Macaca fascicularis: one gene and its partners. The protein of the gene in region 4 interacts with the protein of the main gene of each other region in a biochemical or structural test. Links are inferred from orthologs where the notes say so. Each region holds a gene or a part of one and is shown on either strand. Other genes may lie near its edges.

Region 1 (4,017 bases), on a different chromosome or scaffold from region 4:
CCAAATTATGTTTAACTTATAACACATTTTGCAAAGACCCCTTAGGTTAACCATTTTGGAAATCTACATTGTTCCGAAGAAAAAGATAAGCTTTCAAAACACTATCTAGCAATTCCTAATCATTTTTCTATCATAAACATTAAAATTCAAAAGTTACTGCCACAGTGCTTGTGGCAGTAAACAGAATGTAAAATTTATCAAAAGACTAAATTAGTGTCATGAAACATAAACATACTAAATAATCAAATAAATACTGGACCCTTAGCACAGAAAATTATTAAAAGGTTGATCTGAGTGTTAACATTTGTAATATTAAATTACCTTCGTATTTCAAATATTACTTTTTCTAAACCAAACCGGCAGCTAATCAACTTTTCCTTTCCTTTAGGAACAAAAAGGATATTTAAGATATTTTCCAAAACAGTAAAAACAACTTAGTGTTTCAATTCAGTTACAACAAACCCTGCTTATCCTGTGCATTTCACTGAGGCGCTACACGCACCCAAAAATCATCATCAGAAAGAGAACTTGAACTTCCTGACTCAGAGTCTGGCTCACTGAATCCACCTAAGTCCCATTCAGTGCTAGACTCACTTGGTATTTCTTCTTCTTCAGTGAGAAAACTCTGACCAGGTTCAAGGCAGGAAGGATAAACACGAGCAGAGAGGCAAAAAAAGTTAGAATCAAACTGCAAGAGGCCTAATGTGGTACCTATATTAATCCATTGGTCTCCCCTAATATCATATTCATACACAGTCACCCGGTTCTTTTTCCATTGTGGGGTGCGAGAGGTGATGAGCAACAATTTTTGGCCATGCTTGATAATCCGGTAGTTGTTGGTCTCTGAGACCAAGGGAATATTATTCATTTGCCTCCATTCTGCCCTAACTGGGTTGTAGACCTTCATGACTGGGATGTCACAGATACAGTAGATCTCCTCATTGAAGACGCACGCTTCCTGAAAGTCATTGCGCTTCAGAGAAACGCACTTCAACCACATATTATGGCTAGGATCATAACAGAACATGCGCTTACTGTTGAGAGCATAGAGATAGTCCCGAATTACCATTAGGTCAAAGGATAAAAAAGAATGGGGCAGTGGAGCCACCAATGCCCACTGGTTTCTCTTAACATTGTAGCATTCCACTTCCTTCAACTTAACTCCAGTAATAGGGTCTCGCCCCCCCAAAATGTAGATGTAGCCATTGAGATATGCCACATCCATGCCCTCACGACACAGCAAGCGATCTGCAAGTTGCTGCCAACTGTTCTGAGCTGGTTTATACACCCAGAGGTCTGTCCTGGGCTGGGCAGCTAGATAGATGTCATGGTCAGGAGAGATACAGACAGCTAAGGTGGTGACAGTCCTAGTGTGAGCCAGACAGGTCAAAGGTGACGGCACTTTGTAAAGGTCCCCCGAGTATGGATCACAGCAGAGAAAGGGATCTCTGGGGTGTCCAAAGAAGATCACCATCTCCTTGGCACACATACCCAGTCTCTGGGGTGGATTTTCTGCTGCAGATACAAGAGAGTTGCTGCTGCTACTGCTGCTGCTGCTGCTGTTTGGCACTGGCACCAGAGACTTGTACAACAGGTCACCATAGCGCATCTGCAGGGCCCCTTCAATAACGTCCAGGCAGTACTTCTTCACGATGGGCTTGGTCAGCAGCCCTTCTAAGTAGTCCTGATCTTCTTCAGTGAAGTGCATCCAGCGCACGCACTTGAAGACTTCCGCAGCACTGGGACCCCGCTCCTTGGGAGCAGCCTCCAGCCACTGCACTGCCACGTGGCACACTGTCTGCTCACTCTCCACGTCCAGACTATCCAAGCGCAGGACAGCCAGCAGCTGGGCCAGGGTCAGATCTGCTAGAGTCTCCTCCCGAATTGAACCCATGTGGCTGAGCTGCTTGAAGTTCTGAGCTATATAGGACTGGGCCTGGGATCGCAGCTTGCGATGGCCAAAGGCGTCTGCAAACTTGAGGATGGCGGTGCAGTTGGTCAGGTCAAGACGTCGGGCTAAGAAGGAGGCACAGGCTTCCCGCACATACTCCAGTTGCAGCATGTCGGAGGCCGCGTACAGGCGCTCCACGTTGGCCTCGCTGAGAGACACACGACCCGTGTAGCAGTAGTCGACCAACACCTCGAAGGACTCAGCGTCCACATCGTGCATGGTCACGCTAGTCTGCTGGCTCTCGTACATGCCACCTGTGAACATGCTCTTGAAGTAGGGACACGCGGCGGCCAGCACATTGCGGTTGCAGGGGAAGAGGCGACCCGTGCCAGGCCCGCTGCCAGGCGTCACCACCTCGATGGTCACATCACACAGCTGCCGCGCATCGTAGAAGGACTTGAGCTGTGCCAGCAGGGCTGCAGAATGGGCCGTGTCCTTTAATTCCTCTGGACCCGTGAAAAAGGCCGAAACCGTGGGTTTGTGAATCTTCTTGGGCCGCTTCCCACCACGGGGACTGGCGAGGCGGCGAGAGCGCGGGGCGTCTTCCCGGGACTGCATGGTGGAGATGGCGACGGGCGCTGATGGCGAGAAAGGCTGCAGGACCCGGCTCTGGCTCCTCCTCAACCTTCCCTCGCTGACGCTAAGATAGCAGCGTCTCCCAAGAGACCGCAGCACGAGCCCATTTACTGAATTCAGCCCTACCCTGCGGAGCCGCCTCCCTTTATCGTTTAGACAGTAGCTGACTCACCCTCTCTCACTCCCGCGTCCTTTCTCCGCGTCTGCTCGCCTTCACAGGACCCGCTGGCTTGGAGCCGTAGAAGCCGCTACTGCCGCGTGGGCGACAATACTAGGGCCCAGGAGAACTACCGCTCCCAGGTTGCCTTTCGCGCCCCGAAGGCTGCTGGGCCTCTCGGACTCCCAGGCCGATACCGAGGGAAAGAATCCGCTTTGCATGTTGGGAGTAGTAGTTTGTGTAATATCGCGATCCTTCTCTGGTGTTCCTTGTTTTTTAACTGACGACACTCGAGAGCGCCAGTTTTCCTAGATTCGATTTTGTGGTTTGGAACTTTGGTTTTGGAATCCACAGTAGTCGCCTCGTTCTAGTATGTATTGTTCGACTTGTCTCTTTGAATTGTTTCTTCTTTTGTAAAATGTGAACAGTAGTATTTCATAGGATTGTGTGAAGATTAAATGAGTTGGTTATAGGACGCTGTTAATATTTGTTGGTTTGTAGAATAATTACTCAGTTCTTAGAATATAAAGGTTCGACAAGTTTTCTTCTAGCCTTTATATATATAGAAAAAAAAGGAAGCATCACTAATTTGAAATTATGAGCCTGTAGGAAAACAAAAAACAGCCCCCGAAAACAGAAAACCTTGCAAATTGCAGCAGAGATCCCTTTTTAGGGGTGTGTGTGTGTGTGTGTGTGTGTGTGTGTGTGTGTAAATTAGATTTTATTTTTAGGTTTACAGACAAATTGAGCAGCAGGGACAGGGAACTTCCATATATCTCTCCCCACTTCACAGTTCCCTTATTATTATTAACACCTTGTATTAGTGTATGCATCCAGTAGAAGTGAATTTTTTTTATTTTTATTTTTTACTCACTGTGCCTCTCCCTGATACCAAAAATTAACTCAGGGTTTGTAGGATTGGTTGGCTGTTGCTGGAATTAGATCCCTGGTTTTTTCACAATTGCCTGTCCTTACTTGCCATGACTAAAAGGAAACCACCTCCAATCACCTTACTTTGAGACTTTCCTTCCATATCTGCATTTCAAAATCTGAAGTCCTCTCTAGCCACTTTTCCCACTTGGTCTGTCCAATATTCAGTACCCCTTTCCCTTTTTTACATAAAAGAAGAGACATGCTTTAGGGGTCCTCACCCCAAAACACAAGGGAAGCCAGAGGCCTGGTTGGTAATTTAGCATCCTTTTAGACCCAGAGGCTCAAGCATTTCTCCCCTTGCTTGTATGAAGTTGCTGCTCCATCAGAACTGACTTTATTTTTAGTCATTCACTCAACCTTTACTTACCCATGTAGTTCAGACATTAGAAGTCACTGAGAA
Region 2 (4,178 bases), on a different chromosome or scaffold from region 4:
TTCAAAACTCCACCAACAATTCCTAGTCCAGTTTTCTATTGTACAGATTAAAAAGTTAAATTCCTTGTGGCACTAACCAAAACTTAAAAATTAACAGAAGACTGAATTAATTAAAAAAAAAAAAAGCATACTAACTAATCAAAACAATCCACTGTGCAATGAATATTTGAACAATGAAAAAAACCTACCAAGCATCCCAGTCAATTACATAGTTCTTGCTTCCATATTTTAATTTTGGACTTTCAGGAAGGTATATTATTAAACAGGTCGATTTTGTGGACTGTTTAAACCTTGTAGTATTTCAAAATATTACCCTTTCTAAACCAAATCTGTGGTCCTGGTCAACTTTTTTTTTTTCAAGAAAAAGAAAGGATATGTGTTTAAAATACATTCCGTAGCAGTAGAAACATCTTAGTGTCTCAAAATCTATTTACAAAGAACCCTGCTGATCCTGTGCATTTCGCTGAGGTGCTACTTGCACCCAGACTTCATCATCTGAAAAAGAACTTGAACTTCCTGACTCAGAGTCCAGCTCACTGAATCCATCTAAGTCCCATTCAGTACTAGACTCACTCCGTGCATCATCTTCCTCAGTAATAAAACTCTGACCAGGTTCAAGGCAGGAAGGATAAACACGGGCACAAAGGCAAATAAAGCCAGAGTCAAACTGCAAAAGGCCTAACATAGTACCTATATTAATCCACTGATCTTCCCTAGTATCATACTCATACACTGTTACTCGGTTCTTTTTCCATTGTGGGGTTGTAGAAGTGATGAGAAGCAACTTTCGGTCATGATTGACAATCTGGTAGTTGTGGGTCTCTGAATCCAAAGGAATATTACTAATCCGCCTCCATTCTCCCCTAGCTGGGTTGTAGACCTTCATGACTGGGATGTCACAGATACAATAGATTTCATCATTGAAGACACATGCTTCCTGAAAGTCACTGCGTTTAAGAGAAGCACAGTTCAGCCACATATTGTGGCTAGGATCATAGCAGAGCATGCGCTTACTGTTGACAGCATAAAGATAGTTCTGAACCACTATGAGTTCAAAGGAATAGAAGGAATGAGGGACAGGAGCCACCAATGCCCACTGGTTTCTCTGAACACTGTAGCATTCCACTTCCTTCAACTTAACTCCAGTAGTAGGGTCTCGCCCCCCCAAAATGTAGATGTAGCCATTGAGATATGCCACATCCATGCCCTCACGACACAGCAAGCGATCTGCAAGTTGCTGCCAACTATTCTGAGCTGGTTTATACACCCAGAGGTCTTTCCTTGGCTGGGCAGCTAGATAGATGTCATGGTCTGGGGAGACACAGACAGCTGAGGAGGTAACAGTCTTAGTGTGAGCAAAGCTGGTCAAAGGTGATGGCATTGTGTAAATGTCCCCTGAGTAAGGGTCATAGCAGAGAAAGGGATCTCTCGGGTGTCCAAAGAAGATCACCATCTCCTTGGCACACATACCCAGTCTCTGGGGTGGATTTTCTGCTGCAGATACAAGAGAGTTGCTGCTGCTACTGCTGCTGCTGCTGCTGTTTGGCACTGGCACCAGAGACTTGTACAACAGGTCACCATAGCGCATCTGCAGGGCCCCTTCAATAACGTCCAGGCAGTACTTCTTCACGATGGGCTTGGTCAGCAGCCCTTCTAAGTAGTCCTGATCTTCTTCAGTGAAGTGCATCCAGCGCACGCACTTGAAGACTTCCGCAGCACTGGGACCCCGCTCCTTGGGAGCAGCCTCCAGCCACTGCACAGCTACATGGCATACAGTCCGCTCACTCTCTATGTCCAGACTATCCAAGCGCAGGACAGCCAGCAGCTGGGCCAGGGTCAGATCTGCTAGAGTCTCTTCCCGAATTGAACCCATTCGGCTGAGCTGCTTGAAGTTCTGAGCTATATAGGACTGGGCCTGAGATCGAAGCTTGTGATGGTCGAAGGCGTCTGCAAACTTGAGGATGGCGGTGCAGTTGGTCAGGTCAAGACGTCGGGCTAAGAAGGAGGCACAGGCTTCCCGCACATACTCCAGTTGCAGCATGTCGGAGGCTGCGTACAGGCGCTGCACATTGGCCTCGCTGAGAGAGACACGACCCGTGTAGCAGTAGTCGACCAACACCTCGAAGGACTCGGCGTCCACATCGTGCATGGTCACGCTGGCCTGCTGGCTCTCGTACATGCCACCTGTGAACATGCTCTTGAAGTAGGGACACGCAGCTGCTAGCACGTTGCGATTGCAGGAAAAGAGGCGACCCGTGCCAGGCCCGCTGCCAGGCGTCACCACCTCGATGGTCACATCACACAGCAGCCGCGCGTCGTAGAAAGACTTGAGCTGTGCCAGCAGGGCTGCAGAATGGGCCGTGTCCTTTAATTCCTCTGGACCCGTGAAAAAGGCCGAAACCGAGGGCTTGGAAATCCTCTTGGGCCGCCTCCCACCGCGGGGGCTGGCGAGGCGGCGAGAGCGCGGGGCGTCTTCCCGGGACTGCATGGTGGAGATGGCGACGGGCGCTGATAGCGAGAAAGGCTGCCGGACCCGGCTCTGGCTCCTCCTCAACCTTCCCTCGCTGACGCTAAGACAAGCCGCGTCCTGGAACAGACTGCGGCACGGGCCGCACTTCTGAATTCAGCCTTAGCCCGCGGTGAGGTCTCCCTTTATTGCGTAGACAGTGGCTGACTCACCCTCTCTCACTCCCGCGCCCTTTCTCCGCCTCCGCTCGCCCTCACAGGACCCGCTGGCTTGGAGCCGCGGAAGGCCCCACTGCCGCGCTGGCGATCCCGCTAGGCGCCCAGGAGAACTACCGCTTCCAGGTTGCCTTTCGCGCCCCGAGGCCTGCTGGGGCTCTCGGACGGCCGGGCGGGGACAGAGGGAAAGAAACCGCTTTGCATGTTGGGAGTAGTAGTTTGTGTAATATCGCGAGCTTTCCTTTCGCTGACTGCCCTAACAGTAGAAATTAATTCTGGATATGATGGTGAAGTGACGATGTCTCACTATTGTTGTCCAGGCTGGTCTTGAACTCCTGAGGGCTCAAATTATCCTCCTGCCTCTGCCTCTCAAAGTGCTGGGATTACAGGCGTGAGCCACCGGGCCCTGCCAGTATTTCATAGGGTTTTGTGTGATTGAATGATACGTTACATAGGATACTTAGATACATGTATTTTTTTGGTTAGAAGAACAATAAAGCGTTACCCCGTGCCTAGAATGTAGCCAATAATTGTTAGATTCTCTTTTATAATTTATGATAAATGAGGCACCCACTAATTTGAAACCAAAAAATTTTTAAAATTTTTAAAATTATTTTAAACCGCAAAATTTTACAAAGAACTTAGTTTTTAATTTTTATTCTTTTGAAAGATTTTGAAGGGCATTAACTATTTTCAATGTTAAATGGTACGTATTGGCCTTGTTTAATAAGGATGTCTTAGACGACTAGGTTGAGGTCCTAAAGAACGGTGTTAATAGATGGCCTCAAATATGCAAATCGGGCATATAAAAATAGATTATTTGCTACTCTCACTAACATTTCATCTCTGGGGAGCAGGAATATTTTCATTAAGCTCCAAATATGAGTGTTTTCAAGTCGTCTAATACAGTCTCTTTCACTGCCATTCCACATATCAATTAACAGATTCTGTAATTGCCTTTATTAAGGAGTTTTAGGGAGTATTTAACTCAAAATATTTCAAGAAACAGACTTTGTTCTGTACAAAAGCACGTGATTCTCAGAATTCAGCATTAGTACATGCCCTGACATTCCTTGAATTAACATACAGTATAGCCTATGCTTTACAAAAGTCTTTTATATTTGCATTGATCAACAGTTAAATCATCAAAATCAAGTATTAGAGATTTGAGGCAGGAAAATAGGGTCTGGAGGCAGGGAACATAAGGCCGATTCACACTTTAGCTATAACAAGAAATACCCTCTCCATAGGGTGTATGCCGAGTAAATGAGTTTGTAACTTTAATTCATTCTCTTCGTTTACATAGGGTATACACCAAGTAACCAGTGAATCCTCTAGAGGGTATTTAAACCTCCAGGAATTCTGTAACAGGGCCCTTGAGCCCTGTGCTGGGCCTGCGCCCACACTGGAGTGTACTTTCATTTTCAGTACATCTCTGATTTTGTTGTTTCATTCTTTCCTTGCTTTGTTTATGTGTTTCTTCCAATTCTTTGTCC
Region 3 (4,237 bases), on a different chromosome or scaffold from region 4:
ACGGAGCCCGCTCTGTCACCCAGGCTGGAGTGCAGTGGTGCGACCTCTGCTCACTGCAAGCTCCGCCTCATGGGTTCACGCCATTCTCCTGCCTCAGCCTCTCGAGTAGCTGTGACTACAGGCGCCCGCCACCACACCCGGCTAATTTTTTGTATATTTAATAGAGTTGGGGTGTCACTGTGTTAGCCAGGTCTTGATCTCCTGACCTTGTGATCCACCCACCTCGGCCTCCCAAAGTGCTGGGATTACAGGAGATTCAGATTATTTTAATGAAAAAAAACCGACAGAGGGCTCTACAGTCATCTGGGAAAAATGTGAAACATGATGCTCTAGTTTCTTTGACAAACATTCCACAGGAAATTAATACGACACAGGGACAGCCCGTATGTACACTGAGGAAGAGCCTCTGCCTTTGGCAAAGGTCTCCCACTAGGGTCATTCCCAAGATTATACAGGCACTCTCTAAGTAGGCCTGAGTAGGACTGCAACCCGAATTGGTTTTCTTTGGGGAAACAGGCTGTCTGCACACACTTACAGACAGGACAGGGGAGCCCAAGAGAACACGGGAATCAGATCCTGCTTAAGCTGGCAAAAGCTGAGTCAACAAAGCTCTAAGAACATCTCCAGGGAGCAGCTCCAGCTGTTAGCAGCTCTGGGGTCTGAGGAACAGTCATCAGCTCATAAGGCCAGGCGCTTGCCTACTCTGCTCTCCACGTGGCCAACTTTGAGAGCGCTTTCATACATCCCAGCCCAACCCTGTTGTCCTGGAGAAAGCCCAACTTGGGAATACGTAAGAGAGTGAGGGTGGAGACTCATAGGAACCAGGCAGGGAGCAAAGCCTGGAGAAAGGATACCCAGCTCCAGGCCTGGGCCCAGATCCCTCCAGGTGCTCAAAGCAGGTAGGCTCCTAGGAGGTGACAGTCTAGTCCCCCAGGACTCTTAAGGACAGGGGAGGCCTTTCAGCACCAGGACTCCTGACTCTACTCTCCTGCCTCTACACTGTATCTCTCATTGTGTCTCTTCACTGGAGGATTAAGGGAGCCTCAAAGGAGCAAGTCATAACTGGCTGAAGCGACCCCCTCTCACCTCTCCTGGACAAAGCAAGGAGCAAGAAAACAGGCTCTGCCACCTACTTGTTGTCACCTTAGCTGGAGCATTCCTGTCCACTCTGGAGGGAAATGTAGTGGACTGTCTCTAAGGGCCCTGCCATCTCTGACTCTTTCTGTCTACAGTGCTGAATGCACTCTGGCTCACGCCTGGCATCCTAGCACTTTGGGAAGCTGGATGGGGAGAATGGTTTCAGCCCAGGAGTTCGGAACTAGCCTGGGCAACATAGTAAGACCCCGTTTCTTTAAAAAAAAAAAAATTAATTAGCCAGGCGTGGGGGCCTGCGCCTGTGGTCCCTGCTACTTGGGAGGCTGAGGTGGGAGGATCGCTTGAGCCCAGGCATAGAGGCTGCAATGAGCCAAGATTGCACCCCTGCACTCCAGCCTGGACAACAGAACGAGATCCTGTCTCAAAAAGAATAAACAAATAAATAAAAGCACTAACATTTACTGAGCAGTTTAGACTATAATTCATTTAATCCCAACACCCCATGAGGTAGATACTACTGCTATCCCAGTTTACAGAGGAGGCCGCTGCAGCACAGAGCGGTTCACTGAGGTACCAAGGTTATAGGCAGAGGTCTTCTTTCTTTTTTCATTTGAGACAGAGTCGCTCTGTCCCCCAGGCTGGAGTGCAGTGGCGCATCTCGGCTCACTGCAAGCTCCGCCTCCCGGGTTCACGCCATTCTCCCGCCTCAGTCGCCCAAGTAGCTGGGACTACAGGCGCCCGCCACCATGCCCGGCTAATTTTTTGTATTTTCAGTAGAGACGGGGTTTCACCGTGTTAGCCAGGATGGTCTCGATCTCCTGACCTCGTGATCCACCCGCCTCAGCCTCCCAAAGTGCTAGGATTACAGGCGTTAGCCACAGCGCCCCGCCGGCAGAGTTCTAAAGGAGGCCCCGAGGGTAGAAGCCTACGGTTACAGGCCTAGGAAGGCTGCACGGGACATCCACGGGATGGTGGGGGTCGGGAGACACCAGAGAGGGGCCCGAGGTTAGGCGCAGAGGGGATAATGGGTCAAGGTGTCTGAGGAAGGAGATGGGGCTGGGTAGCCCCAGCCAGACTGGCCGAAGCCCAGGTAGAGGGGTGAAGATAGGAACAAGGGCGGGATGTGGAGACGCAGGGAAAGGCAGGCCGACGTGGTCAGGGGCGAGGAGGCCTTGGAGGAAGGAGGGTGGATGGCGCAGGCCCGTGGTCGAGGCAGCGGGCGCCTGCGGAAGCGCAAGGGCGGCTTTGGGGCGCGCGGTCCCACCTTGAGCACCGTGACGGCTCCCGCGCTGTGCACCTGGAAGTGCGCGGGCGGCTCCGCGCCCAGCTCCGCCGCCTCGTCGGGGCCCTGGTAGCTGAAGCAGGCGTCCGCGATGTCCAGGTGGCCGAGGGGCAGCGCGTCCTGCGGACTCTTGAAATAGTAGAGGTAACAGCGGCGCGCGTCGAACACGAACCAGCGGCTGCGGTAGCCGCGCAGGGGGCCTTTGCCCGACAGCTTCTGCAGATAGCCGCACAGCCGCGCTGGCTCCCGCGCGGGACCCGCCCCGGGCTCCGCGGCCGCCCCCTGAGCCGCGCCCTCGCCGCCACCGCCCTCCTCCGCCCGGGATCCAGCCCCCGGCATAGCTACCGCGCGCCAACGGTAGGAGCCCGAGCCCAAGCCCGCGCCCGCTCCCCGCGCCTTCGCGCCACCGCCGCTGCGCCCCCTACCCCTCCGCACCGCCCCATCGCTCCGCAAGGCCCGCGGGTGCGCAAAGCAGCCTGGGACTTGTAGTCCCGCCCCCGCCCGCCCGCCAGCCGTTGCCCCCGCAGTCCCCGGAGGCAGGGTCCTGCGTCCAGCATCCCTGCAAGTCAGTTGCCTTCGTGCTACCTGTGCTCCAAGTCCTCGCCCTGTGGGGTGAAGCAATGGTCTATTTCTTTACGGCAGTGTAAGTACATGGGAGTGTGCATCTCTCAAAACCCAACGGAGTGTCCACTTAAAACTGCATTTCACACTGTGTACCTTTTTCTAAAAACTTGATTTTTAAATCTCCCTCCTGCCAGAGTCTCAAGCTAATATTGTAAAAATGAGACAGCCTATTGCCTGGCGCTGAGTGGGTGCTCAGTAAATATTTGCAGAATTCATGAAAGCCAAAGCGTTTCCTGCCTCTCCAGACTTCAGTTCATTCATTGAATTCAACATATATTTATTGAGTGCCTTCTGAATGCCAGGTACAGTTCTGTATGCCAGGCCCTGGCGGATAGAGCAGTGAACAAACCAATCATTCTCCTGCCCTCGTGGAGATTATATTCTAGTAAGGCAAGGAGGTGATACACAAGAAAGCAGATAAAAGTAATGTGTGCTATGTTGTATAAATGCCGTGATGACATGTAAATATTATCACTTAAAATAGCACCTAGTATTTATCAGTGCTTTATAGATTATTTGAACACTCACAACCTGAGAAGGCAAATCTATTGCTTTGTAATAAAGCAAAGAGAAAGAATGAATAAGACTAAGTATTTGCTAGCAAAACAGGGTGACTATAGTCAAAAATAATATAATTGTACATTTAAAAATAACCAAAAGAGGATAATACAGGCACGGTGGTTCATGCCTGTAATCCCAGCAGTTTGGGAGGCCGAGGTGGGCGCATCACCTGAGGTTGGGAGTTTAAGACCAGTGTGACCAACATGAAGAAACCCCGTCCCTACTAAAAATACAAAATTACCGGGGCATGGTGGCCCATGCCTGTAATCCCAGCTACTCGGCAGGCTGAGGCAGGAGAATCTCTTGAACCCAGGAGGCGGAGGTTACAGTGAGCCAATATCACACCATTGCACTCCAGCCTGGGCAACAAGAGCGAAACTCTGTCTAAAAAGAAAAAAAAAAGTATAATTGGATTGTTTGTAACACAAAGGATAAATGCTTGAGGTGATGAATATGTTACTTACCCTGATGTGATTATTATGCCTTGCATGCCTGTGTTAAAATGTCTCATGTAATCCATAAACATAAATACCTACTATGTTCCCACAAGAATAAAAAATAAAATAAATAAAAAGCAAAGTGAGAGGATGAAGTGAGGGGGCAGGTAGCAGGCTGCTCCCCCAGGACAGGCAAGGAGGCTGGTCTGATCCTGTGACGTGGAACACAGACCCAGAT
Region 4 (4,193 bases):
AAGTGATAAAGCAGACCGCAATACCTGGAGGGAAGGCAGGGGTTTGGAGAGGAAGAAAAGGGGGAGGGGTAATTATTAAAGGATTGGTTTCCCAGAACCAAGGTTAAATTTCCAGGAATCCCAACTCTACTCCTCACTATGGTAGACCCTGGGCTAGATGCTTTGCCTCTTTGGGTCTCAGTTTTCCTCTTTGTAAAATGTGACTAATACTCAATAGACCTATGAATTTTTAAAATAGACAATCTGTTTCTAGCAGTCTTTTTGATATGTTGTGTCTTTGAAGATAATTTCAAGATCCCACCAACCCCTCCTCTCTGAAGGCACAAGCATACCTCTTCTTTTCAACTGTTAGCTCTGAAGAAATATTGGTGGGACTAAACTCTGGTTATGCGAGCAGTCAGGATACGCCACTGCTTGAATAACACCAATGGTCAAGCTGGAATGGGCTTTAGGAACCACTACTCTAACCCTCTTTTCTGTAAACAAGGCACTCTATCTAGCACAGCAAGATTAAAAGTTCTGCCCAAGGATGCAGTGAATTCCCAGAACTAGAACCAAATCAAGGAACCTGCGTCATAACTAGAAAGAAGGTCACAGACTGAGCACCTTGGGAGCAGCTCAGCGCTGGTTAAAACATAACCCTAGGGAAGCTGAAATCTGAGTGACAGTCTTAATGGCTTAAAAATTATCACAGGAGTAAAACATTTAACACCAAACTATGAGCATGAAAAGAACAGAATGCACTGAAATATTCAGAATACACATAAGTATTTATCTATTTCCAATACTTAACAGTGTGAAGTCCACAGCACGTCATTAATTCTGGTTAATAACAACTATATTAGAAACTGAGAAACAGTATGGCACGGAGGTTAAGGTCTCCGAGAGCTCCACAGTCCGTCAGACAGGGTTAGAATTCCGGCTCAAACACAGATCAGCAATGTGAAACCTTTAGGAAGTTACCGCATTTCTTTGTGCTTTGAATACTCCGTCTGTAGAACGGGGATTATAATCGTGTAAGGATTAAGCGAATGATTACAGACTGAGTACTTATACTGCTACTGTAAACTATTAGTAAAATATGACTGTATTTTTTAAATATCATTGCTCTAAAGATTGGTATCACCAGAACTCGGCAAAATTTTCAGGTATCCAAGGTCCAGAAACCAGCAAAGTATTTTGTAAAGGATCCTTTACCGAGTAAGGGATTAGCTCACCCCTCTATAAACTGAAAACCCTTTGGTAATTTCTGAGGAATGGAAGAGCCCTAATGACTTTTTTTTTTTTTTTTTTAAAGGAAAAGGGGTACAAGAGGTTTCTACTGCTGGGCTAAGGCCCTGCTGGCTTCTGGTAGCTATAAAACCACGAACGTTAGGTAAGGATTAGAGAAGAAACCCAGAGTGGCTGCGAATCAAGATAAGACATCAGATAACAGCAATTATTTTACCATGATGTGACATGTAATCCTGATGTTCCTACCTGAAGATAAAGAGCACAATTTTAAAAATCTCTGCTCCTCCATTTCCAAAATCCAACAGCTGCTGGTCCCTTTACCACTTAAAAGTCATACTCTGCCCTCCAATTCGGCTGCGCAGCCCACATTAGAGAAACACCAGGCAAGGGGCGGGGGAGGGGGTAATGGGGAAAACGCCCGGATGGTGAAAGACACCTAATGTTTCTTCTCTGTTCCTACTCACTACCTGCGCTAGTTTTAACTACTTAAGCCGGTGTCCAAAACACAGAAAAAACGTCTCAGTCCTGCCTTATCGCGTGCAGGTGCCAGGTGATCAGAAATCAATACCGGGGGAGGCTGGCTGTCCCCACACATTTCCCGGAGCCTAGAACGATGAGGCATGAGGGCTGTTGCGCAGAGAACGTGACCTTGTTTTTCAGGCCCGGACTGTCTTGTGCTCCCCTACCCCCCTGTAATGCAAGAAAAGAACCGAATAGCTTCTGAACCTTTTCCTCCCAAGCCCAATGATATGACAGCCAAAGTCAACTTCATTAAAGGAGAACCAGCCAAGGCAGAAATCGACCGGGTTTGCGCAAACCTCACCGCACAGCACAGTGTCCCCGCGTTCTTAAAGGGAGCCAATCCACGGCCCTGATCTAACCACTCTCGCACACAGGGGCGCTATTTTGCGCACCTCAACCCACACAGGGTCTCAGTATTGCTGAGACCGTGTGGGTTGCTGAGTCACTGAAGATGGCAGCTCGGCCCCAAAAACACCGTCAGCCCTGAAGTGGGGTTCAGGCCCCAGGCATATGTGGTTTTAAAAGCTCCGCAGTCTGGACGTCCATTGGCTCGGGCACTGAAGGGCGTTCAGGATTAACTAATTATCGGCACCTCCCTTCCCCAGAGTCGCCTGGGCGCCCCAGGGAAGCCATCTCGACTCCCAGCCCCCGCCCCCGCGGGCCCTTCCCCTCCCATCCCCCCGCTCCTCTACACTCACGGGGACCCTGTCCGGATATTTCTTCCGGATCTTTTCTCCTTCCTTTTTCCGATACTCAAAGGGATGGTCCTCCTTGTACTGGAACTTCATGATGCACCGCAGGGCTTCCGAAATTCCCCGCGCGGGGCCTGCCTCCTTCGCCGCTGGCCCTGTCCAGCTCCCTCCGCCGACGTCAAGGTGTGCTCAAATAGCTACAGAAACGTCCGCTCCCGGGGCAACAGCGCTGGGCCGAGCGTGCAGAGGGGGTTCGGTGTGGGGGGGAATCTCGGGTGAGCCTGCCCGGAGATAGAGGAGAGCCAGGTGGAGAAATACCGGCGGCTTTTCGCTGGAGCTGCGAGCACAAAAACAGTTGGGTGGCGCGTCGGGCTGTGACGTCACCCTGCGCGCCCCGCCCCGCCCCCCAGGCGCCGAGGGCAGGGGGCGGCCGAGTGCTGTCTTAACTGCGTTTCCTTTCTGGCTAACGTTTTTCAAAATCGATGTCATTGCAAACATCAAAACATTCTAGTTGTGTTTTATTTTGTGACTGTGAAAGACGGTTTTAAGACAAAAACAATTTTAAACATGTTTTATTCCCCCTCCACTGTTTTTCTTGGTTTGGCCCCAAAACAAATACAAAAGGCGAAAATCCTTTTCCTGCTGGTTGGGATCCAGCCTCAGGGGAAAAGAGGCCCAGGCCTCCTGGGATCCCTTTGGCCAATGCAGAGCTGTCTCGTGCTTGCACCGTGCCCTCTGCGCTTTCCGCTGCCCCTCCCGCGGCCCTCCTCCCGCGCTGGCGTCACAGTGTTTGGGCCGCGCCGCAGTTCGCTCCTGAACAGCAACATAAACAGAGCGTGACTCAGGAATTTGAAGAGAGGAGTCAGATGAAGGACGCGGAGTGTAATCAAGGTCCAAAGGAGACGTGATGTCAGTCAGGACTACGGAGGGCTTCACGTACAATCAAATACAGTAATGATTCACTTTCTAGCCGGACGCGGTGGCTCATGCCTGTAATCCCAGCACTTTGGGAGGCCGAGGCAGGGGGATCACCTGAAGTTAGGAGTTCGAGACCAGCCTGACCAACATGGAGAAACCCCGTCTCTACTAAAAATACAAAATTAGCTGGGCGTGGTGGCCCATGCCTGTAATCCCAGCTACTCTGGAGGCTGAGGCAGGAGAATCGCTCTAACCCGGGAAGCGGAGGTTGCGGTGAGCCAAGATCGCGGCATCGCACTACAGCCTGGGCGACAAGAGCGAAACACCGTCTTAAAGAAAAAGAAAAGAAAGAAAGAAGTGATTCACTTTCTGCCATTAACTCAGAAAGGAGGCTTGTCTTCTGGAAAAGAGAGTATCAAGCAATTTAGGTGATGACCTCAATTCTTCCCCCACATCTTATTTAGTTCCAGTGGTTAGGTATCCCTCACGTGGCTGGAAAGCGCTGCCTGGAATGCCAGTGGAAGATTGGGCATTGCGGCAGGTGCGGCGAAGCCTCGTTCTCGCTTTCCCCACCTAGAGTCAAAGAATAAAGACCTTCCAACCAGTACGGTAGGCAGCGACACGGAGGACCGTGGAGATTGCAAAGAAAAAGAAGAGTGAAAACGGGCTGCGTTGCCCATACAAGCCGGGTGAGTTCTGAGAAATATTAGACAACAGCAGCCCCATGGCCTATCTTCTTCAGTCGGGGTCTCAGTGTCTAATTTTAAAAACACCCACAAGGGGACAGGCGCGGTGGCTCACGTCTGTTCTCCCAGCACCTTGGGAGGC

Evidence for each region. The genes of interacting proteins can lie anywhere in the genome.
Region 1: the proteins of GABARAPL1 (region 4) and KBTBD6 form a complex in vitro, tested with the Homo sapiens proteins (2 studies listed by BioGRID and IntAct, with this or other methods). The link is inferred for Macaca fascicularis from reciprocal best matches to the Homo sapiens genes GABARAPL1 and KBTBD6.
Region 2: the proteins of GABARAPL1 (region 4) and KBTBD7 form a complex in vitro, tested with the Homo sapiens proteins (2 studies listed by BioGRID and IntAct, with this or other methods). The link is inferred for Macaca fascicularis from reciprocal best matches to the Homo sapiens genes GABARAPL1 and KBTBD7.
Region 3: the proteins of GABARAPL1 (region 4) and TBC1D2B form a complex in vitro, tested with the Homo sapiens proteins (2 studies listed by BioGRID and IntAct). The link is inferred for Macaca fascicularis from reciprocal best matches to the Homo sapiens genes GABARAPL1 and TBC1D2B.

The regions. Positions count from the first base shown.
Region 1 is NC_088391.1:20,478,023-20,482,039, forward strand, and holds the start of KBTBD6 (kelch repeat and BTB domain-containing protein 6), read right to left. Parts: upstream 2,801-4,017; 5' UTR 2,510-2,800; coding exon 482-2,509; 3' UTR 1-481. UniProt on the Homo sapiens protein: As part of the CUL3(KBTBD6/7) E3 ubiquitin ligase complex functions as a substrate adapter for the RAC1 guanine exchange factor (GEF) TIAM1, mediating its 'Lys-48' ubiquitination and proteasomal degradation.
Region 2 is NC_088391.1:20,548,002-20,552,179, forward strand, and holds the start of KBTBD7 (kelch repeat and BTB domain-containing protein 7), read right to left. Parts: upstream 2,801-4,178; 5' UTR 2,489-2,800; coding exon 431-2,488; 3' UTR 1-430. UniProt on the Homo sapiens protein: As part of the CUL3(KBTBD6/7) E3 ubiquitin ligase complex functions as a substrate adapter for the RAC1 guanine exchange factor (GEF) TIAM1, mediating its 'Lys-48' ubiquitination and proteasomal degradation.
Region 3 is NC_088381.1:55,436,483-55,440,719, forward strand, and holds the start of TBC1D2B (TBC1 domain family member 2B), read right to left. Parts: upstream 2,801-4,237; 5' UTR 2,717-2,800; coding exon 2,360-2,716; exon of another isoform or gene 2,284-2,359; intron 1-2,283. UniProt on the Homo sapiens protein: GTPase-activating protein that plays a role in the early steps of endocytosis.
Region 4 is NC_088385.1:10,692,672-10,696,864, forward strand, and holds the start of GABARAPL1 (gamma-aminobutyric acid receptor-associated protein-like 1), read right to left. Parts: upstream 2,801-4,193; 5' UTR 2,544-2,800; coding exon 2,454-2,543; intron 1-2,453. UniProt on the Homo sapiens protein: Ubiquitin-like modifier that increases cell-surface expression of kappa-type opioid receptor through facilitating anterograde intracellular trafficking of the receptor. Involved in formation of autophagosomal vacuoles.